Linked DNA regions of Nothobranchius furzeri. The protein of the gene in region 1 interacts with the protein of each later gene in a biochemical or structural test. Links are inferred from orthologs where the notes say so. Each region holds a gene or a part of one and is shown on either strand. Other genes may lie near its edges. The genes, in order: lef1 and transducin-like enhancer protein 1.

The links.
Region 2: the proteins of lef1 (region 1) and transducin-like enhancer protein 1 form a complex in vitro, tested with the Homo sapiens proteins (2 studies listed by BioGRID and IntAct, with this or other methods). The link is inferred for Nothobranchius furzeri from reciprocal best matches to the Homo sapiens genes LEF1 and TLE1.

Annotation. Positions count from the first base shown.
Region 1 is NC_091746.1:81,733,942-81,745,628, reverse strand, and holds part of lef1 (lymphoid enhancer-binding factor 1), read left to right. Parts: intron 1-4,503; coding exon 4,504-4,636; intron 4,637-9,585; coding exon 9,586-9,676; intron 9,677-10,932; coding exon 10,933-11,052; intron 11,053-11,687. UniProt on the Homo sapiens protein: Transcription factor that binds DNA in a sequence-specific manner. Participates in the Wnt signaling pathway. Activates transcription of target genes in the presence of CTNNB1 and EP300.
Region 2 is NC_091757.1:48,850,133-48,862,326, forward strand, and holds the start of transducin-like enhancer protein 1, read right to left. Parts: upstream 6,408-12,194; 5' UTR 6,210-6,407; coding exon 6,186-6,209; intron 6,008-6,185; coding exon 5,907-6,007; intron 5,264-5,906; coding exon 5,200-5,263; intron 4,573-5,199; coding exon 4,528-4,572; intron 1-4,527. UniProt on the Homo sapiens protein: Transcriptional corepressor that binds to a number of transcription factors. Inhibits NF-kappa-B-regulated gene expression. Inhibits the transcriptional activation mediated by FOXA2, and by CTNNB1 and TCF family members in Wnt signaling.

The DNA.
Region 1 (11,687 bases):
TGTTCTGTTTCTCTCGGTTTGTTAATGGCGCCACACTGCTTAGAAATTAAGAGTCAAACACTTAAAAAAAAAAGCGGATCAAGTCTTTTCATCGGGGCAGGCACATTTCACACAAATTATCCTCCTTGCACGTGCAGAATGTCGGCAACCGAGCTGACGTGAAGGGTTGCTTCAAGCACAAGACGGCTATGCCAGCTGAAGGATGATGGGTAATCCATCTCGTCCTATTCACTGTTGAGTTTAAACGTGAAGGGGAGTCTTTTTTTATGTTCGTATGTTTCATGTTTGTGGCGCTTGCTGCCTTGCCTCTATGATATTACGTATTTTTGAACATGTATTTGGACCTTTTTGCAATTCCCGATTTCCACAGCAGCACCATTCATGTAGCTAACTGGGAATATTTGACTGTGTGGTTGGAGCTAGTGTTTTTAGGAACATTTGACAAGTGTTTTGCCTGCTAGACATGTTCTGCAACCACAAACTGTCTTTAAAATCAAAACATGCCTGAGATGATGTTTACGTTTTCTTCCTTAAAACTCCACTCAGCCACAGGTCTGCGGTCATTTCTATCAGCTGGCTGCAGCTTCCCGTCGGACTCTTATTAGCATGAAGGGGATTTTGATTGGAATGAAAGGAGAAAAAGTCCGATTGGGAGGCAGAGCAGATGTATTTTCCTCTCCAGGGCAGGCTTTTTCTGCTATTCGCAGCCTCCCCTGCTGCTGTCCCCGTGGTTGGCTTCGCCTGTTCGTCTCATTACCCTGGGCGCGTGGCACTCCTTAGCTCGCTGGGAGCCCAGCTTTCTTCCTCATTAATTGGGTTTCGTTACATTAAGCCGCCTGGCCAAGGGGCAATCCCGCCACTGAAACATTTCATTTTTTAGCACTTCACTCGTTGCTGGTGGGGTTCAGCCGGCTCTGCGAATGGTAATTGGTTATTTATTTAAGCTTCTGCAGGTTGGTCTCCGACTGATTTTTGGTAAAGAGGGAGGTACGGCGCCTTCTCTGTTCCCACAGTGTCCCAAAGCTACTACATTACAATGTTTGCTCTCTTTTGTTGCAAAAAGGTCGTCCGAGTTGCGCACAAACACACCTGGTCTTGGGACAAGCGTAGGAATTCTGGAATGGCCACACCCTTGCTTCATACTCAACCGTTTGGTGTTTGCTGATGCTTTTGTCTCCGTAACCTTCATCTCTGGTTGCATTGTCTGTAGAAACAGTAGCTAAACATCATTTATGCATTCAGAGGGTTGGTGTTCTGGTAGGACTCTGATGTAATTATAACATATTTCCTGAAGCAGCAATCATGTCATAATATTGGTGCAAAAATGCAGCAAACTTTTGTTATTAAAATTTCTTGCCTCACGTTTTTTTCCCCTCTGTTATTACTCCATGCCATTTTTTGTGCATCTTTCTCACTTCGGAGTGCAGAAAATCACATGAGTGGGTGAAGATGGGTGCTAGGGTGAGAGGGGCTTCTTGGTGAATAGATTTAGCAGCATGGGAATCCATCACCACTACTCAAGCTGCCATCTCCCCAGCTGTTTGTGAAACACCTCACACGGTTCCTTATACTCTTGATTGTAGCTGCGGGCATGAAAGAGTCCTCATTGCATATAAATTACAGAAGTGGGAAGTGATTATTATGAAATTCCCACTTTTCCCCCCACTCCACTCTGCAGAAGTGGTATAATTGAGCAGAGTACAAAAGCGGTGCTGTGAGGCGGGAGGGAGGGATGGCTGAAGAGGAAATATTGGAGGAATGGTTGCTTCATATAAACACACAACATTATGATGGCGGAATAGGACCAGAAATGAAAAGACCAAACGTCTACATCCCAGTTGTCTTCCCCGCCCCCGGTTTGAGACGACACACCAGCTTCCCTCACTGAAACACACTGGAGCGCCTCGTCTGTCGAGGGCTTCCTGCCAGCTTCAGTTCCGCACAATGAATTTGGTTTAAAACCACATCTGAAGGGCTTTGTTTTTAAAAAAAAGGACCGGCCGAGGCTGGATATGATATTCCAAATGGAACGTTTGCTTTTCAGTTCTCCCTGCCTCGCTTCTGCTGCCCCCCCAAAAAAAGTGAAAAGAAAGATCCTAAGCCTATTATTTCTCATGTACAACAAAGGGCACCTCCAATATGGCTACCCTCTATGAAACAGCGATGCTGCTGTGGGTTTGAGAGCCTGTGTGGGGAGAGAGGTGACACAACCGGTCAATCGGTCTTTTTTTGGAGAAACCCCTCAACTTTCAGCTGATTCATCCTAGGTAGTTGTAGAGCTTTTGGCTTTCACGTTCAACATTTTTTAGTCCAAAAACCAGCAGCGTCTCGAGTTTTCGTCGTCACGTTTGATGTTATCTGGAGTTATTGATGAAGCTTTTAGAATTCTTGTGAAAGGAATTGTTGTTCTGTTCTTCTAAAAGCAAATCAGGATTGGATAAACCAGTGTGGGTAAATGCACCCGTATTGGTCACAGAGACTTCCAGCCTCTTCCGTGGTGGATTCCCTGTTTCCTCCACAATGGAAGAAGGGTTTTATTAAGAAATTAAGAAAAATTGGATTTGACAGCTGTAACCACGAGAGGGAGAGGTTCTCCGCTGTGGTTGGCGCGTCTGGTTAAAGACTCGGTTACCCTTTACACTTCTGTTTTATTAAAACAACGACGGCAGAGTGATTCGTTTCCATTAGCTTGGTCTTTGTCCTGCTCTTTACTCAAAGTCTGAGGAATCATGGCTATAATGGTAATCTCCTAGGCTCTTATCTCATTCCCACAGGATAACAAATGGGAGAGGAGAGGCGTAAAATAATACGGGTGAGAATGGCATCATTTAGCCTCTGGTGAAGGCATGTCCAGTCTCTTCATCCCTGGTTAGTCCCTCTTTTAGGTTTAGCAGCCTTCCCCTCGGTCGGATGGGGTCGAGCACTCTGACTCAAAGATTATCCCATCACCTCTGACTCTCGGTGACTGGGAGGGGGGGTCACAGAGCTCCTTTTCACCTGGGTTGGTGTGGAATTGCTATGAAACTACCATGGTGTTCAATGTTCATCAAGGTGGGAACAGGAAGTCGGTCTGATTTTTGCCCGTTGCTAACTTTGAGCGGAAAAAACTCACATGCCCCGTCTGTCAGGATCCTGGTTAGGACGTTCCCAAAATGGGAAAGGCTTTGAACCGAAGCTGGTGCCAGTCTGCGAGAGGTGTATCCAACATTCCAGACACCCCGTGTTCGAGGGGTTTGATGAATATGTGTGTGTGGTGGGGGGTGTGACCACCAGTCTCCACTTAGGACTGCGAGAATGTCCCTTTGGCTCACAAGTGTTCAGATGGAAAGAAGCTAATAAGAACTTTTCAGTAAATGGTTTCGACCGGGGTCTACAGGTTTAATAAAAGTGGAGCAGAATCGTTCAGGGCGTGTCCAGCCTTTCACAGATTAGCCGTATGTCCTGTAGAGGTGATATTTTGACTCCAGCTCTGCTCTGGGCTCGGATTGTGAATGGCAGATTTAGCACGGCTAAGCATTCCCATGTGTTTGGTGCAGCTGGGGGGGGGGGGTTGAACTGCTAATTGTGAACAGGTATGGTCTGTGTGAGCCAGCCGGGGACTGGGGGTCCATGGACGGGCCACTGTTGACGTGATAACCTCTACGTTGGGTTAAGAACCGCTGCAGACATCTGCCTCGCTCCGGCTTTCTCACCAGTCAAGCCCCTCCCCTCCCCACCCCACCTCCCCCGGCTCTTGCTCTGTAATGAACTCCCCTTATTCACCAGCTAATGACTGCCTTTGATCTCCCGCCTCAGACCTCTGCTCCATACCTTGCAAGTCTCTCATTTCTCTCCCCTCTCTGCTCCGTCGCTCGCCCCGTTCGCTTCTCTTCTGTTTGCGTCCTTCTTTCTGCTTCACCCCCAAACACACACATCTTTGCTTTTATTTATTTTTCTCTCGTTTCTTCAGGGAGTGGCGTCTTTAATCCCGCTGACCTGTGCTGAAAGTGTAGAGCTGCTGGGCTCAACAACAAACGGGAACAATGTGTTTTAGAATGGAATCAGTCTGTATTGCCACTGCTGCAAGAACAGTGGAAGGCGCTTTGGCGTCTCTCCGTGTATATGCGGTACACAGAAGAGATAAAATAACAAGTATGTACTAAAAGGAAGAATTGTGTATTTAAAAAAAAGCTGTGTATGGCATTGAGTTGAGGTTGGGGGGAGGGGTTTTGCTAAAACCGTAATAAATAAGGTTGTAATAAATACCGTTGGAAGATAATAATACTGGTTGCATTGCAGTATACATAGAAACACGATTTGTAAATATGAATAAGGTGCAGTGTCCATGTTGGTGAGTGTCGGTGGAGCAGTTACCTTTTCATCAGGGTGGAGGTAGAGCCTGTGCTGCACTAGCTGAGCCAGCGTCCTGCTTCTGCATGACAGAAACGACATTAGGTCCATAGTGTTCATGTGAAAAATCAAAAATTTTATTGTAATCTGACCAATTTGCTTTTGTTTCCACAGTCCAATAAAGTCCCTGTTGTGCAGCCGTCCCATGCAGTCCACCCTCTCACACCACTGATCACGTACAGCGATGAGCACTTTGCTCCAGGCTCCCATTCAGGCCATCATCCCCAGGATGCCAGCAACAAACAAGGTAAGAGACACGCCGACACAACGTCGTTTTGTGTTGTCTGAGTCGTCTCGAACTGTGAAGGAAAAAGCACCCGAGTCGGTCTCTAATCCAGCATCTGACTGGGATGCAACTGTTTGCAGGAACATCAACAGATTGTTAGTTGGAACTTCAATAAATTTGTACAAATGATCCTCGAGGAAGAAGTTTGAGTACGGCAGTGTTATGTTGGGCGAACAGAAGGGAACTGCCCTGCTAATGTTTCTTGTGGCGGTTTAGTTCTAACGTGTCTCGATTTGCTTACAGTTTACCCCGCATGCCATTTCAAGTTTGTTTACTAACTGCTCCATCGTATTGAGTTCTTTGAACTTTGACTCTCAAAAACTACATTGAGAAGGGTTTGAGACGGGTTCCAGACAGCTGTGATGACTCTAATAGGAGTAGAAACTAGTCGTGGCCCAAAACCAGCGACATTTTTCATCTGTGACTGAAGGAGTACAAAAACACGGAGCAAATGTTTTATTCATGGATGGAAATGGCAGGAAACGTGGGTTTAGAGGTGGCGACCGCATGAAGAGGTGGAGGAGAATGAGAATGTTATAAAGTCTCTAAAATACATGAACACATTCACTATCGTGGGATCGGATACATGGGTGTAATGGTGGCATGATACGCCAGAACAGAGCTACTCCCTCTGCTGTCCTGGCGGGGAACTGCTTTGCAACACTCCCCAGGTGACGGAGAAGTCCGAGAGCAAAACATCTCTGTCAATGAGTGTGTCTCTGCCTAGCGGAGCTGACGGAGATGTATAAATCAGGCTTAAGGGCTGCAAAATGCTTGGTTTTAACAGTGTGTATATACATGTTTATTATGACTGTCTCCTGTAATGTGCGTTGATTTAAAATGTTGTTTGTGCGCATCCCCCGAAATTAACGAGACGCGTTCGAACGCTGCAGTATACGAGTAACCAGTAGGCGGAGTTAACTAAACATGTGAGACACCCACCATGGTTTAGAGGACTTCCATACTATCTATGATACCGCTGCTGTCGTTTTTCCTGCCGGGATCTCCAAATGAAACAGATCTTTTCTATTGACACGATGTTTGTTTCGAACAAACCCTGGACTCTATCGGTCTGAACTGAGCCCCCTAACGAAGTCCTTCAGTACTACGTGCAGCGCAGTGCCGTGCAGCAGCAAGCATGTGAAAAAAGACGCAGCCTGCGCCAAAACACGTAAAAAGCAAGCATAACCCGACCCTAAGACTCTGGCTTTACGTGTCAAATCTGGGTGCCTGTTTTAAGAGAACACCTCCATAATCCCAGATCATGAATCAAGCTTAAACAAATGAAATCTAAAATGTGGTCTCGCTTTTACAGAAGCTCCAATCTACCATTCATGGACACAATTTTCACTTTAGAAGTGGGGGGGACAGTGGGGGGGGGGGGGGGGGGGGGGCTTTACAGTATGCTCTAATGGGAAACCGGCTTCAACACAAACGGTTGTTTTCTGCTTGGTCCTAGAGCTCAACCAGTGTCAATTTAATATAGCGTAATATTGTTTTTGGATGGTAAAAAGTGCAGGGGTCAAAACTTGACTTTGGAAAAAGTGTGTGGGGGGGGCATGTCCCCCCTGTCCCCCCCCCCAAAATTACGTCCATGCTACCATTGATCAAACTCGTACGTTAAAGCCATTATTGGATGATGTGCAGTTTATGCTAAAAATATTGGAAGTCATCTCGGAGGCAGCACAAGTATTCTTTTTTTAAACGACTGTCAACACCGTCAGGAATCCGTTGAGACACACACACAGAAATATGTCGGAGCGAAGTCACCCTGCCACCATCTTTTGCTGTGAAGTCATTTGAAGCAGCCGGTGGGATGTCGCGCTGAGCTCGTTGCCCTCTCCCTCTGCACTCGTTGCCTCTCAGGAATAACATCAAGCTGCAGCTCTGACAGCTGCAGAAGAGCTCCTCTGCCGTTTGGACGAGCTCCTTCAGCCCTGCGCAGCTGGAGGCTTTGGCAGCATCTCACTGATGCTAGCAGAGGAGGAGAAAAATTCAAAAAAAGACGTGGGCCAAGCGTGGTTTTGTCCCGCACCTTTTCACTTTCCTCCGCTTTCTTCTCCTGCAACTGTCACTTGAAAAGGATGAGGAGTACGAGGAGATGTAGGTGATGATGATGAGAAGGATGGGAGGCTCTGAGGGACCGGCTATAAATAATCCTACGGAACGAAGCGTGAATGTATGCGGTGCAGGGAGATGAAGGGAGCGGGACACGTAAAGAGACAACGCTCCACATCTGCAAAGCTTCTGAAACAGATGAGAGCTTTATTGTAATAGATGCATAAAAGGACTAACAGGCAACACAACAACAAATGCACCCGTCTTTTTCTGTGTGAAATTTTGCTTTTCACAAAAAAAGACGCAATAATTCCCCCGTTGGCAACTCCTTGATCTCTGCACTCACAGCCTAACAGAAATCCATGTCCAAGCTATCCAGTTGCAGAATTAGCTACAAATAATTTCCCCAGGCTGTGTGTGTGTGTGTGTGTGTGTGTGTGTGTGTGTGTGTGTGTGTGTGTGTGTGTGTGTGTGTGTGTGTGTGTGTGTGTGTGTGTGTGTGTGTGTGTGTGTGTGTGTGTGTGTGTGTGTGTGTGTGTGTGTGTGTGTGTGTGTGTGTGTGTGTGTGTGTGTGTGTGTGTGTGTGTGTGTGTGTGTGTGTGTGTGTGTGTGTGTGTGTGTGTGTGTGTGTGTCAGCAGAGCTAAGCCGAAGATGCTTAAAATGAAATCTCTCCCGTTCTTTTTTCCCCTTCCACAGTCCCTCTCGCTCTTTCTTCTCTCCTAATATCGACCAATAGCTGCTGTGCTTCCTTTAGTGGGCTCAGACTTTGATCTGCTCGTTAATTATGAAAAACAATCATGGATTTTCTCATTATGAGCTCTAATATGCACAGGGCTGCTGCGTGGGATGGAAGGTCGAGCAGAGGGGGGTGGGGGTGTTTGGAGAAAATAAATAAAATAAAGACGTTTTGTTTGGGACGTGTGAACATGAAGGGGCGAATAATTAGGCGTCATACACGTGTGAGCGACAAGGTTAACGCATCAGGGTGCTCTTTTCCTCCCCCCCACTGCTTCGCCACTCACCTGCCTCCCTTCTGCCCTCCTCAGGAGGGCCCTAAAGGAGTGTTAGGTGGTGGATTAGCAAGCGGGGAGCCGAGCTATCCGTGCTACGAATCCAGCGACGCAACATTGGCTTTGGAGATATAAGCCTCCCACCCGGCCTGCCTCTCGGAGGAGGGAGGCCCCTTCAGACCACGGCTTGGAGAGAGGAGGGGGAGGAAAAGATGGAAGCAAGGAGAAAAGGATGGCTCCAGCAGGGATTAGAAGACGGTGCTAATCTGGAAGCATTTGCCCTCTTTTTTTTTTCTTTTGTACACACAGGCGCGTGAACAGCTACATCACAAATCTGCATGTCCTTTTAAAAGTGGGCAAAACCGGTTGCTTCAAGTCAGAAAAGCAGGAAGTTGAAGCAGATGTTTGTCATCCTGCAGCACTGTCACAAAAATAGACCTCTTGACCTTGAAGCCCAGTAGGAGCTGGAAATGGAGGAGCTTAGTCCTGGCAGAGGAGTGGGTTAATACCAGGCCAACAGGAAGACCGCTGGAAGAGACCATTACACACAGGAAGGAACAGAGTTAGGAAAAATGATCATTTACCGCAGATTATTGAGGTGAGGTCAGGTGAGGTCAGAGGGCATGTTCACGCCCTGATGTACGGGCTGGGATGGAGGAGGTTGTTCAGGAGGCGATCTTGTCAAATTTTACAAACACTTCAAAGATCTCTTTAAAGGCTAAGTTCACTGAGAACTTTTTTTTGTACTTATGTTTGAAATCTGATCAGTCACTCTGAGGCCCTGTCCACACGTAGACGGGATCTGCCAAAACGTAGATATTTTCCTACGTTTCGGCCTGTCATCCACACGAAAACGGATCTTTTTAAAAACTCCGGCCAAAGTGAAGATCTGCGTTTTCTCCGTTTTGGGTGTCTGCGTGTGGACGGACAAAACCGGAGTTTTAAGGTCCGCAACGTCACTTTCCGCGACAGAAAAATGCTGACATCACGAGTGCGACCTGTGTTTACACTAGCCGACAGCACGGATGCCCTCAGAGCTGCGCTCGCTTTATCAATCGTCCAAGCGCTTTCTGCTTGTTTGTTTTTGCAAGAGGAATTACTGCTGCTTGCGGAAGACCACAGACGAAGGACGAGGTTAAGAACGGGGGAAGTACTGCCGCCTACAGGTCTGGCATGTCCTTAACAACGTATTTATCCGGGTACGTGTGGATGCAAGTTTCTGGAGGGGCGGATATTCGTTTTTTTAAAAACCCCGGCTACGTGTGGACTAGGCCTTAGTTTAACATGCAGGCTACATGTGAAAACAGTCTTCTGCCCCATTTCCTTCATCAGCTGATAGAAGCTATTCAGGGAAACGCTCGGATTAGGATAACCCACACAGAATTAGCTTTTCGCTCACCCATCGTGGCTCGAGACGAGGAAGGCTGTTGTTGCTTTAGCTTCCAGGTGAGCACAGAGCACCGCTGGGGTGGTAGAAGCTAACAGTTAGCATTAGTAACTCCACAACATGGCAGAGCTCCTCCAGGCTTGTGTTGTTTGTGGAGATGAAACATCAACATTGCCAAGCGAAGGGAGTTGCTGTCAGCCAATCAGAGGCAAGATGTGACATTATCAGGAAGTAAAGACTCCAAATCCTGCCGTCTGCTGCGCCCCTCTGCCCTGGCTAACACCTACTTCCTGAAACAGGAGCGCCGACGTTTATACCCCACAGAGATCAACCTACGCTTGTGCAAGAGACCACTGCCCATGTGTTGAATCGAGCGAACCTGGTCTTTAAGGAGAAATTAAACTTGTTAACATTTTCACAAATCTTGATGCTTGTGTACGACCTTTGTTTGTAGGAATGCCCAGGCATCATCCCGGACCAGACATGTCCAATTTCTACTCGCTGTCTCCTGGGGGAGTGGGGCAGATCACGCCGCCGCTGGGATGGTGAGTCACTAACTGATGACCGTAAAAAGCTCGATGATTCATGCTGACGGGAGGGTGTGTGTGTGTGTGTGTGTGTGTGTGTGTGTGTGTGTGTGTGTGTGTGTGTGTGTGTGTGTGTGTGTGTGTGTGTGTGTGTGTGTGTGTGTGTGTGTGTGTGTGTGTGTGTGTGTGTGTGTGTGTGTGTGTGTGTGTGTGTGTGTGTGTGTGTGTGTGTGTGTGTGTGTGTGTGTGTGTGTGTGTGTGTGTGTGTGTGTGTGTGTGTGTGTGTGTGTGTGTGTGTGTGTGTGTGTGTGTGTGTGTGTGTGTGTGTGTGTGTGTGTGTGTGTGTGTGTGTGTGTGTGTGTGTGTGTGTGTGTGTGTGTGTGTGTGTGTGTGTGTGTGTGTGTGTGTGTGTGTGTGTGTGTGTGTGTGTGTGTGTGTGTGTGTGTGTGTGTGTGTGCGTGCGTGCGCGTGCGTGCGTGCGTGCGTGCGTGTGTGTTGAACGGAGGGTGGCTGGTCTGCAGCAGCAGCTCCAACAGGGAGGTCTGCCTCTTGGCTGTTTCTGGTGCACTGCTGTGGCTTCGACCACACTGCTCCTCTGTGAGCCCAGCACAAGTCAAACACATCACCGCGTGTGTGATCCTGCACAGCCATGTGGCTTCTTAACCTCCATCAAAGCTTTCTGAGAGCACTCCTGCTTCTTCCAGATTCATGCTTGTCAAAATGATCTAATTCCCTTTCTATCTGCCGTCGTGTCTTTGCTTTACCCGGTGCCTTTTCAGTTCCTGTCATGTTTTCATCTCCATTTTCCTCTTTCTCTGTCAGTGGGATTTTAAATTTAGGTGACAAAGTGGAAGTTTAGTTATGGTTTTAACAAAACAAGTCAGGATTCAATGGTAACTAAAGCGACTCATAAATGATTTTATACATGTTGAAATGAACAGGAAAGGCAAAACGCGTTGAAAACCAGAGATCCAGATGTTTTTGGGCAATTTTATGATCAGATGAGGGTTTGACTCTAGTTTATGTTTGATGAAATCCTAAAACATAGATTGTTTCTGGAAGAAACTTCATATTTAGATGAAACCATGTTTAAAAATGAGTGATCAATTTAGCATTGTGCTGCATTTGCATCATTTTCTAATCTACAAGAATGTGCATGTTCAGCACCAGCTGAGCATTCTGGTTTCAGTAGGTGTGCAGAATAAAACTGGAACGTGTGTGTGTGTGTGTGTGTGTGTGTGTGTGTGTGTGTTTGATTTAAATTCTTCCTGCAGGTTTTCTCACCACATGGTGCCCGGCCCCCCTGGTCCCCACGCCACAGGGATCCCCCATCCGGCCATCGTCAACCCACAGGTCAAACAAGAACCTCCGCATGAAAGTGACATCATGCACATGTGAGTCTTCCTTTTTTTTTTTTTTTTTTGCTTCATCAGCAGGCTTTCTGAGATGATGTACTTCCAGGTTTTTGTGGCCTCCACCACTGCAGGAGTTCATTGCTGACCCCCCCCCCCCCCCCCCCCCCCCCTTCTCTCAGAGCCTTTTGATGTAAACCGATAAGCAGCGAGGGTCGCTGCTCCTCTGATAGCAGGCCCGTGCCTCGTTTGGCCTTGAGGAGCACAACGCTCAGCCGACAGATACGTGAGATTAGAGCTGGGGATGCAGGAGGTGGTTATGGCTGATGCTTTCATTATTCATGGCAATCGCTGCCTCAAGTCTGCGCCAGCATCACTACAAAAGGCCACAAAAGGAATCAGGAGCGGGAGCAAAGTGTTTTTCAGTGTGGAGACGTTTGGTTTTAAGCAACTTCCAATGTCCCTTGGACAAAAGTTTGGTTGCTGTTAATGGTGAAGTAATGTCTCCGCATGAAGGGCTGCAACTGCACATGATTAAAGCGGGAGGGGCCCACGGCGTGGCAGCCCTTCTCACGCTGGGGACACCAGACCCCTGTCATGTTTTCATTTTAAAGGGGGCCACCATCGCGGCGTTCCCTCCTCCTGATGCTCGACTCTCCTTTTATTATCTGATCGTT
Region 2 (12,194 bases), on another chromosome or scaffold:
ATGTTCTGTGGAAGAGAAGCTGAAAACTGTCTAACTAGTCTAGGTGTACCATATAAAATAAACTGATACATTGACTTAATTAAAACGATGAGGTAGGCGCGTCCTGCTAAGCGTGAGCATACCCAACTTATGCAAAGAGATCTTTAAATAAAGTTCTATTTCAGGCAGACCATACATGTTCATCCATTATAGGATCCTGCTGTAAGCCAATAATTAGATTTGTGTAAAGGTTAAGTGATTATGCTGTCAGAGAATAGTTTGACCAGCTACTATTAGGTTATCCTTGCTAATCAAATTTACTACACAAAGCCAAACACACTCAAAGTTGCAAACATCATGTGAGGCTTCATCACAAACTCTTCTGAGAGATTCTTAAAGGGAAAATAAATAAATATTTTACTGCAATTCTGGAAAAACAACAATGGAAATTTTTCACAGAAGCTTTCATGTTTCTAAGTTGAGAATGGTAAAATGGCCTGTATTTGATATAGCGCCTTCTAGAGTCATGGAACCCCTCAAGGCGCTTTACAACACAATCAGTCATTCACCCATTCACACACAGGTGGAGATGAGCTATGATGTAGCCACAGCTGCCCTGGGGCGCACTGACAGAGGCGAGGCTGCCGAGCACTGGCGCCACCGGTCCCTCAGACAACCACCAGCAGGCAACGTGGGTTAAGTGTCTTGCCCAAGGACACAGCGACAGACTGAGCGGGGCTCGAACCTGCAACCTTCCGATTACGAGGCGAGCACTTAGCTCCTGAACCACCGTCGCCCCAATATAGAATATAGAAAAAGTTTCAAGCATACAAACAAAATGTCCATTAGATGAACAGGCTTCCTATTACACATATAATTGGAGCATTATTGCAACACAACACAACACATACACACACACACACACACACACACACACACGAACGCACAACACACATTTTCATGCATCCCCAGCAGGAGGTGGGTTGTTAGTCTGTATGCCCGTACCACCCGCCCACAGAAGCTTGTTGCTCTGACAACTGCAGCCCCAAGCTAATGACCTCCCCTGAAGCTTTAGTGTGTGTGTGTGTGTTTACATGTGTGTGAACAATAGGAAGAGCTGCATCTCCTTCACAATGAAAGAACAGCAGCTTCACATGGACGTAGAAAGAAAGAGGAGTCAAGGAAAAACAAAGAAAGAGGAGGAGGCAGCTTGGGGTCTGGGTGAAAACCAGAATAAAAAAGGACTGGAGAGAGAGGAAGCGATGAAAGAAAATAGGGCTGCACGATATTAGGAAAACCTGCGATATTCGATAACAGTGCTTAATATTGCGATATCGATATTACTTGCGATAAATGAACAAATACTAAAGTATGCAGTGTTATGTCATCTGGCGTGTGACGTCTGCTCTGGGTTCAAAGCAAACAAAAACTAATGCATGAATAACATAACATTTTTATGGCAAAAATATGCAGCTGCACCTGCTACTGTATTAGCAGCAAAACAACAAACTGCATGCATGCAGTTCCTCAGTGACTTTAAAACATCACCTCCACCATAAAACTTTTCTGATGCTCCAAATACAGAAAAACATCCCTCACCAGGGTCTTTTGAATAAATTAAAAAATCAGAAAATTACTTTAAATGTTAAATAATAGTTAACATCACTTAAATGCAACAGCAAATTCTCTCATTGCTACTGAGCATTTTCTCCACTTATGTGGTTATGATATAAGGCTGTTGCTGTAATTGGGAAGTGAACTGTGCTGGGCCAAACTAGGAGAATATTAAGATTTTCTGAGGGAAAGAGAAAAACAGTTGTCTACCTTTCAGAAGAGGAACTGGCAAAAATCTACATGGAAAATATGTGAAAACGTTTGTTTTTAACCCCACATTGAACAAGTTTACCTAGATCTTAAAAAGCAGCTCAGATGATGAAACTGCAACTATGATTCTGATAACAAGCTAACTAATTGAACTAGCTCCTCTTAAGATAACCAGCTAGCAGAGCTTCTGACTGACAGTTTATGTGCAGCAGCAAATCAACTATCCTGATTAACAAGGTTATAAAAGCTCATAAATGAAAAATCACATTGATGTGTGGGGGAACTTTTCCAGGCCCTCTTTAGCAGGGTGGGACTGGGAGGAGAGTGCTGTAGCCTTTTAGCTGGAAGCTAACCGGAGCCTGGGGCTAACATCACCACCCGGTGGAACACTAGCAACATGAAGGTGGGTTGGTTCACCGGCACGTGTAGGAGTCAGCCCGGTTATTATCAGCTGCTTAACGACACCAAGCGGACTCACGTTCACGTTTGAAAGCAGCGCTTAGGGATGGGTACCGAATTCGGTACTTTTTAAGTTACCGACCGAATTAAATAGTACCGACCGAGCACCGATTCACGTCGTTTCAAACGGTGCCTCGTTTCGGTACCCGTCCTTCACAACGAGAACTTGCCTAGACAGCTGCTCATGCGCACGAGCGTTAAGTCATCGGTCGCTGCGAGCGAGTTGTAAACAGAGCAGCATGGTAGAAAGAACGCACGCTAAAGCTTGGGTCCACTTCACTAAATGTGATGGGTAACTGGGTGATGATGAAACCAGCAACAGACAACGATCTAAGTGAGACATCCTCATCTTAATCTGCTCCGGTAGGTAAATAAAATGTTTAAGATAACGTTAGCTTGATATGTTAGCTTCCATTTCGCTAATGGCGAGTTCGCTTTCTCCTCGAAACTCCGAATTTCCGACTAGAACATGAACGCGCTCTAAAGTTTGGCTTCACTTTACTAAATGCGACAGGTGATTGGGTGAAGATGAAACCAGCGACAATGATCTAAGTGTGAGACATCATCGTTTTAATCTGCTCCAGCAGCTAAATAAACTGTTAAAGATAATGTTAGCTTGATATGTTAGCTTCCATTGCCACCGTTGTTATCAGCTAATGGTGCGTTCGCTTTCTCCTCGGAAATTCTAACTTCCCAGTAGGAAAAATCAAATGAAAAAAGACGGCAAAAGGAATGAAGATATACAGTAAATTTAGTTCACAGTAAAGATGTTTGCTTCAGTTTAATTATCAGCTTATAAAACTACAAGGACGATGTTAAAATACAAACAGCTGTATGTTATTTATCGTGATATTTATCAAATATGGTTATATATTGAGAAAAATATATATTTAATTATAAAAGAGAATTAAAATAATAAACACTCAAAAGTATCAAAAATTGGTACCGTTAAGTACTGGTATCGATTCCTAGGTACCGGGAATTAGTACCGGATCGATTCAAATGTCAAAGGTACCCATCCCTAGCGCTGATTCCAGAAACGTCAGCACAAAGTGTGTTCGTTGCTCTGAGCCAGCATGACGAACAAGGAAACGGCGCCGCTAACTCAGTTCGGGTGTTGCGTTCCACCCATCCTGTCTACGTAGGGGCGGGCGTATTATGTGAACGGACCCATCTGATTGGCCGCATATCAGAAGGACTACATTTGATTGGTCAAATAATACTTCCACATAAAAAACAGAGCTGGTTTACAAAAAGTTGATGTATGACATGGATGGAAATGTTTGAACCAAACATTTATCGCCGTTTTTGACGTGTTTTGCGATGGGCCTATCGCACGTCCTGTTATCCCGATGACGATAATTTTTCGATATATTGTGCAGCCCTAAAAGAAAAGAACAGAACCTGGGGGTGTAAAACAGAGAGAATAACAGCAAAGGAGGTAGAGAATGTGAGAGCAACACTAAAGGAAAAGAGTTTAAAAAAAAAAGAAAAAAAGAAATGCATCCTCTACTTTCAGTGAAGTAGCCAAGCCAATCCACCTCCAATTTCCTCTGGTCTGACTGGTCGATAGCAGTGGTAATTACTGGTAAATGCTCTAAGCCCTGCACTACTCCTGTGGGAAATGTGAATAAAAGAAGGTGAGTGTTTTCTCCTGCAGTCAGAAATATATTTGTGTACACTCATGCATAAACATGCTTAACCTTCAGTATTTGTGCATGCATTACGCTGTATGAACTGCAGTAAATTACCCATGGCCTCATTTGCACACATTATTTAGAGTTTAGGACGAATGCCCTGTCTGGTTTGTAAACACAAGTATCCTTGCTACATCGTCTCATACGTTTGCATCTGCTTCTACAAAAGGGGAGCGACACTGTATCTCCTCAGCTGGCCTCACGTTGATCGATTCCTCTGCCCTCCCCAGCCCGGCCCATCTAATGTAATAAAGCAGACCGCTCCCCTAGACAGCACCAATCAATCTACAGAGCCATTCATTCTGCCTCTAGACTCGGCTGGCCGGCCCTAACTGGGAAAATGGAGACAGAGCCCCATCGATCACAAATAAACACACATCCACTGCAGAATAACACACACACACACACACACACACACACACACACACACACACACACACACACACACAAACAAATTAACAGACAAACACTTTTGAGCACGTACACACACACCCATGCTAAATACATCAAAATCCTGCCAAGAGGAAGTGGAAAAGGGGAGATGTACAGATCAGATAAGCAGCCATACCTGTTTGTGCATTTCTATGTTGAGCCCGTATGACATCTCGTAGTACTGAGGACAGAGTCACACAGTTAGCTTAGTCAGAGAAATCTTTTATTTTCACAACAATTAGTTTTTTTTAAACTGTGCAACACTCTTTAAAGGCCCCAGGAGTAATCACATTTCCTGTAGAAAGCCCACCATTCAAATGAGTCACTTTCCGTTAGAGGTAGAGTGCCTCAAAAGTGAATTAAAAGCCTTAAACACGCCTCCTTTTAACTCAGCTTACGTAAAAATATTGAAACTTTGAGGTTAAAACTGAAAGTTTATGTGATGCAAATCTGCTGCTGTTGTCTTTTGAGATCTCAGTTTTGCTTTTATTTAGGATGTTGTGTAGTTCTTACATTTAGTTTTTATTGCCGTTTTTCACCCTAGCGTCATTAAACTGATAAAAACGAAGCAGTCTAATCTCACTTTTTGTTGTGTCTGAGTAAGGAAAAGATCATTTTTACACAAAAAGCAGGTGTTACTTTCAAGTTATTGTTTTATTTTAACTTAAATAGGACTTCCCCTTGTTCAGGTAAACTCCATGAAAATCTTTTACACATCTGGAAATGGAACAACATGATCTTCCCCAAGGGCACCTCAGTGGCCTTCCTGCAGCATGTCATGTGAGGCATCGCAGCGAAAGGATCTTACCATGACATAGTGTCTCTGCATCTCGGTCTTTTCACTGGCCAGCTTCTCACACTCCAGTTTCAGGCTGCAAAATATAAAGCAGTGCACTGTTTAGAGGAAAAATAAAACTTTTTGAAAGCTTAACAAGTTCGGTTTTATTTGCCCTATATTTAAAGTAAGCACATAACAACTGTCTCTTGTCTTAAAACACCAATTCTCTTTGGAGCACCCATATGGATGATTGCAAACACAACTAGAATCACAAATTCTTGCAGTGACGTGATGAGTGTGTTCAATGCAGTATGCAGATTTATTAGTCTGAGAGCCAGTGGCTTTCACCCATCATTACGCCAACTACGCCAACTTGCACTGAAAACGCAATTAAATAAAAGTGGGTAGAGCTTCCACAAAACAGAATAAGTATGCAAAATAAGCCCAACAGTGGAGGGGAAAAACAGCGACTAATTCATAAAACCCTGAGCCCACATGACTCTTTGCTTTGGCTCTCACCCATCACTAAGACTTGGACCTACCGCAGTGTAAATGTTAAAAATGGTGCCTGCTGCATGCTTTTATGTGAACATAATCCAGGTTTATGGGTTAGTCTGAGCTCAGACCTGGGGTTTTTAGTGTGGGAGAGGGTGACGACTGTGGTTACACTGAGGTTTGATGTTGATGGGTAGACAGACGTGTGTGTGTGTGTGTGTATGTGTGTGTGTTTGTTCCACCTGTGGTACTGTGCCTGGAGGAACTGGAACTCCTCCTTTATGCGGTCCAGTGACTCTGGGATGGTGAACTTGAAGGGCTGGCCCGGAGCCTGATGGGGCGTCTAACACAAACACACAGGATTATCAACACCACGATGCCAAGTGGAGCCTGATATTAGTTTTTAAAAGTTCAGAGCTTCACTTCAAGTCTAAAAACTTGACTCTGTGATTGTAGAGCTCGGGTATCAGAAGGGAACCGCGGAGGAGGATGAAAAACAACTAAAACAGGAAGAAACTTACCGGGTGTCGCCCCTGGGGGAACATCGTTGCCTATCTCAGCGAGGATGCCGCGTGTCCTTCCTGAATCCCAGATAACGAGGGATCGAATAAGCACTGGGGTGTGTGAAGCTCCTCACGGACACGTATCCATCCGCCTTTTCTTTTATTAGAGTACCAACTGAATGTTAAATTCAAGCCTTGCAGTTTGCGGGCTCACCAAGCGTTTAACGGGAATGCCCCGACTCCTCCTCGCACCGACCCTCCGGATCGTTGTCTCTTCTTGTGCTCCAGCGACAGCGCAAGCGTTAAGTCAACCGGAAAAGCACCGCTCGTTACCTGGAGGCAGCAAAGGCTGGGAGGCGGGTCGGAACCAGGTGTAGTTTAAAGTATTCCGAGTCAAGCAAACACAGAGTAAAACACTCAAAAAACACCCAACGAGTCGGAACACACACAGCCACAAACTGTCCGCTCTCGGAGCATCAGACACGTAATATCCACACAAGTTAATTGCAGTGAAGAGTTCCCACTTGACTCGTCGCGGTCGTTGGTTGGCGGTTAAACAGTCAATAAAAGCAGAATTAATAATTTCCACGGTGACCTCGGGTGGGAAGCTACGTCCAAAACATATTTCACCGAAAAAAAGAGGAAATATATCGTTAATTTTATAAACAAAAATCTACAAACCAGCGCGAGCACTCTAACGTCTAGCTCTGCTTTACCTCAATGGCAACTTTCTCACGCGGTTTCACGCTTCCCATCTAACCGAAACTCAAGACCAGCCCACAAAATGCCTGCTGGCCAATCAAAAAAGCCGCTCCACGTGGGGACGAGAATACGGCATGTGGAATTGTCCAATAGCGGATTTGAAAAATTCCTAAAGTCCATTGACCTCGCGGAGCTTTGCGATTTTTGACCAATCAGCGCCTCGAACGAGCCTGCCACTTCGGAAGCGCGCGGGGCGGGCAGTGCGGTGGGTAATGGCCATCTGTCAATCAAAGTAACGTGGGTTTAAGCAGGAGCGGCGCGCGCACATGAACGTAAACACAGGCATAAACAAACAAAAATAAAAAAGATAGAAAAACGGCTTTTCTTGCTCCTTCTCAGCCAGTGTCATGGCAAATCAACAGAATTATTCTTTTCCCTCGTTTCTTTGTAAGCACCTATTCATTATCTGACACTTCATGGCCCACTTCTCTAGAAAATAAATACGATTTTCATCAGATTCATTTGATTTGTGCTTTGTTTTAGAGCCAGTAAGGTGCTGTAGAGGACTTTACAAATGTATCCTAGTCTATACTGTGAATACAAAAGAAAAGGAAACATGTCAGGAGACAGCCCACATAATATTAAAATGTTTTGCTCAAACAAGACACAGGACAAGGAGGGAAAAATGTAAAAATGTAGTCATTTAATGATGTCTTGCATTGTATAAATGCCAAGATGATAGTGAGAAAATGAAAAAAAGAGAAGATTTGGTAAACAAATGTACAAAACCTCCATTATAGGCACAAATTCTAACCTTTGCCATGTTTCAACTGGATAAAGTCTGACCTCATGATTAGACTAATTCCTGTGCTGGTCTTTATTTTCTCACTAATGTCAATATTTCATTGTTAAAAAGTGACTTGTGTTGTTTGCAAAGTCTTTGATCACTTTGAATCAGCAATAACCCTCACATGTAACAATCATGAATAACGTTAAGGCTTGAGTTGCTCATATTTATCTCCTCTAGCTCCTTAACTCTACAAGTTTCACTGATAAACAACCTCATCCTGATCAGTGAGTTGGCTGGAACTGGATCAGGCTCGTTTTCTCTGCTCCACCTATTCCATCTAAGCACCCCTCACTTCACATGGAAAGCCCCAGAGCCCCGCGCTGACCTGCGTTTGGCTTAAAGAGCTCAACCCTTGACCTCTCACCCTCTGACACCTGCAGCGGCTGATCCAGACCAAATGAGAGACTCCAGACTGTTACCATCGCCATTTTTCCACAACTCCAGCACAAAAATGTCAGCTCGACACATTTGTTTGTGCTTCATGCAATCGTTTCTTTTATCTTCTTCCTCTTTAACCTCTAATTTATTTGAAATAAACCAATCACAATCTAAATCAGTAAGTTTTCTGCATTTTTATTTAATGAAAATAAGGGAATTTTTCATCCTTTCTCTGAAAACCCGAATTTATTTAAAGGTGTGGAACTCTGAAAAAAACATTTTTAATGACTAGTTCTGATTGTAATAGTTCACTGTGAGTTTTCATGCAGGATGAACATGAAAATGGTCTCCTACATCTATCTGCTAGTTTAGCTTCTGATAGAAAATAGACGGTGAAACACTAGGATTTGAAAAGCCTGACAAATCTAGGTCACACTGTCAATTTTGGCTCGCAACGGGGAAGGCGGTTGTTGGTTTAACGTCCAAGAATCAGCAGACAAGGTCCTGACTGGTAGAAGCTAATCATTAGCATTAGCAACACCGTCACACAGAAAAACCCCTCGTGACTTGTGTTACTTGTGGAGATAAAACACCCACGTTGCAAGTCAGTGGTAGTGCTGTGTTGCTGTTATCCAGTCTGAGGTGAGATATCCAAATATCTGGAAATAAACCTGCTGATCCAAGCACTTTTGGGCTTTTCTCGCTCTGGTTTGCAAGGCATTCATTCCTAGAGACTACTGCAAATCTATTGATTAAACACACAGCAATGCAACCCTACCACTGACTTGCAACGTGGATGTTTTATCTCCACAAACAACCACCAGGAGGAGATTTTCCATGTAGTGGTGTTGCTAATGCTAGCTTACTTTTAGCTCATACTAGTCGGTACGTTGTCTGCTGATTCCTGGACGTTAAACCAACAACAGCCTTCCCCGTTGCAAGTCAAGATTGATGTGTCCGTGAATGTTAAGTGACAGTTAATGCATTTGCATACGCATCACAAAACCAAAGTATTGCCCTAAAATTACTTGTGTCAGTTTTTTAATTGCATGAAAACAGGTCAGCCGAACTAAACATATTTTCTATCAGAAGCTAATGCAGGAGATAGGTGTAGGAGACTATTTTCATGTTCAGCCTGCACGAGAAATTCAGTGACCAGACCACACCTTTAAAAGAAATACAAATTTTGCCTTTTTATTAATAATAAGATGTAAGGCGATCGCAGACAAATTGTTTTTGTTGTTAAGAAAAGTGAAATCTACATTCATGTGCCTAAAGGAACTTCTCTCCATAGATTGCTGTTGGTTTAAAAGCAGAACTTGAGACAATGCTCATGGATTCCTAAAAAAAAGAGGCAACACTAAACATTTCTGGTCAGTTCTTTATTAGCGCTCTAAAAAGAGCAGCCACGAGGACAGTGCCAAACAACTTGTTTTACCCCTTCATCCAAATTCAGTTTGGATTTTGCATGCACGTTATTTTCATCATCTCATCACTTCCTACAAATGCAAAACCTCCTCTGATGAAATCACCCGTTTTTTCACGCACCCTAGTTAGCTGCAGACCAAAGCTTTGCAAATATGGCCCCTTGCCTCAGAATGTTACTCGGTGTAACACCAAATTATCATACCCCAGAGAATTAGGAGATAAGCAAATGGAGGATTTACGCAGTATTTTAATGAGATACATGAAAGATTTGGGTTTTCTGTAGGTTTGCCAGTTTCAGACTGCTGCCTAAACACTCAGTCATGATGCTAATCAGTGACCTTTAAAACCTCACGTGACTGAAAACAGGGTTGAAGTCTAGACTGGGATCAGAGTAGATTATTTTTTTCTATTTCATCGTGAAACGTTTTGATTCTTTACAATTTTTAACCACTACCTTTGCCACTTTAAAGGTGTGGGAAACTTGTTTCGTCAATACATTTGCAAGCTGTACTCAGGTCAAAAAGATCCCAGAAGCACTTGGATCAGAATGGAAAAGTCTGCTGCACAACACGGCAGGATTTGATCCCTTATGTCCTGATTTCTGGAAATCTCACTTCGGATTGGATAACAGCACCACGACTCTACCACTGACTTGCTAAACAAACAACAGCCTGCCCCTTGTGAGTCAAGACTGACGAGTCCATGAATGTGAAGTGATAGTCAGTGCGTTTACATGCACATCAGAAAACAAAAGTACTGCTGTAAAAAGACTTGCATCAGTTTTTTTAATTGCTTGTAAACGTGTTAGTGTGGCTGATAGCGGACTGGTTCTAATCGAGCTGAAGCACCCAGATAACGCGGTAGCCATCCAAATGCATTCTGCATGTAAACAGGTCAGCCGAACTGAACCAGATTTTCTGTCAGAAGCTAATGCGGGATAGCCTGGCAAGCCAGACTAAATAAATGTATTATTTAGTCTGGCCACGCTCCATTGACGGCTCTCGGCTGTGGGGCGGGTTCTACCGTTGTCTTTCAAATGATTTCCGCATTCCACTGGACAATGAATGAGTGCATTTACATGCAGCCAGTAACCCTTTTAAAACCCGAATATTCACAATAACCCGGTTCCGCACGGCCATGTAAACACAGCCAAAAACCCGGATATGCTCATAACCGGGTTTTTAAAAACCCGGTTACTACACCTGGGGGTAACCCTTTTCTAACCCGAATGTTTGGTCGTGTAAACGCATACCTGGATATCCCCATCAAAGCGTGTGTTCTGCGCATGCTCTGTTCGCAAGGAATCTTGGTCTTTTGAGTAGCGAGACGTCTTGTATGCGCCAGAACACCGGAAGTAAACAACAAGTTGGGAGCAACGTGGCGAGTCGCGGCACAGCACCACACTTTTGGAGTGACGAGGAAACTAAAGCGCAAACAAACGCGGTCGCTATCTCTTCCGAACTGGGAAACATGTTGTTGTTTTCACGATACCGGAACAAGAAGAACCGCATATTGCGTCTGGGCCTAGTCCATACGTCCTGTCGCTACCCCAACGTCCGCATTTAAATTGGGTTATGCAAGTTAGGAGTAACTCTTTCTATTTATGCTTGTAAACGGGTTATTCTGATCAACTCAGAAACCCGAATACCGACCTTAACCCGATCATAACCCGGATATTGGCTGCATGCAAACGTAGTCATGTGACATACTCTTGTTTCACTCTGTTGCATCATCCCACCCACCAGGCATATAGAGTGCCCTGATTGGCCCACGAAGTGGATAAAGCTCTGTGATTTGTTCACTAAGCAGATAGAGCACTATGATTGGCCCACCATTATGGACCAATCACAGCTCTTTATGTGTTTGAAACCCCTCTAGAGAGCTGTGATTGGCTAGCCAGAGTCCAATGGAGCATGCCTAGACCAAACTTTGCAAAGCAAGAATTTGGTCTAGTTCTCTAGGCTAAATGCAGGAGGTATAGGTGTAGGAGAAGTTCAGCTTGAATGAAAAACTGACCGATTATAATCAGAAATAATCATTTAAAAATTTTTCAGCGTTCCACACCTTTACCCTTTTAATTAGCACTTTTTTATTATTTGCAGTGGTATTTTGGAATACGACTGGATGTGATATAAAAATAATAAGTTTTATTCAGGTTACATTTTATGATTACGAACTAGATGAAAATTAATACTAGAAAATAGTGAAATAAATGTAAAACCTTGTCTTTCAAAATATATTTCATTAAACTTAATTTCTTTTTTACAAAAAAATTCAACGGGCAGTTATGACCGGCATTCGTGTCCATTTTAACGCAGGTTGTGATGTTTTTCTAACTTATTTCTTAAAATCAAACTTACACTGTTATTTAAGCAACAGCAAATAAATCCATGTTGCCCAGAGAGCAGTGGCAATCTCATGACTTGGGAATTTAAAGTCTTGTTAAGTAACATATATTTAATTCATGCTGTTTTTCATACATGCATTAAAAAAGCTGTAAATATTCTGCATTTTTAGAGCGGATGAAAACACTCCTTTGTGTTCTGCTTCAGCGATCAGACCAGCACACATGAGCTCACTGGCCTCCTGATTTCCTTAACAAATATCCATCCCCTCATTCCCTCCGAAGGTCCTCCCCCTTCCTTTCCTCCCCCCTTCTCCCCTAGTCA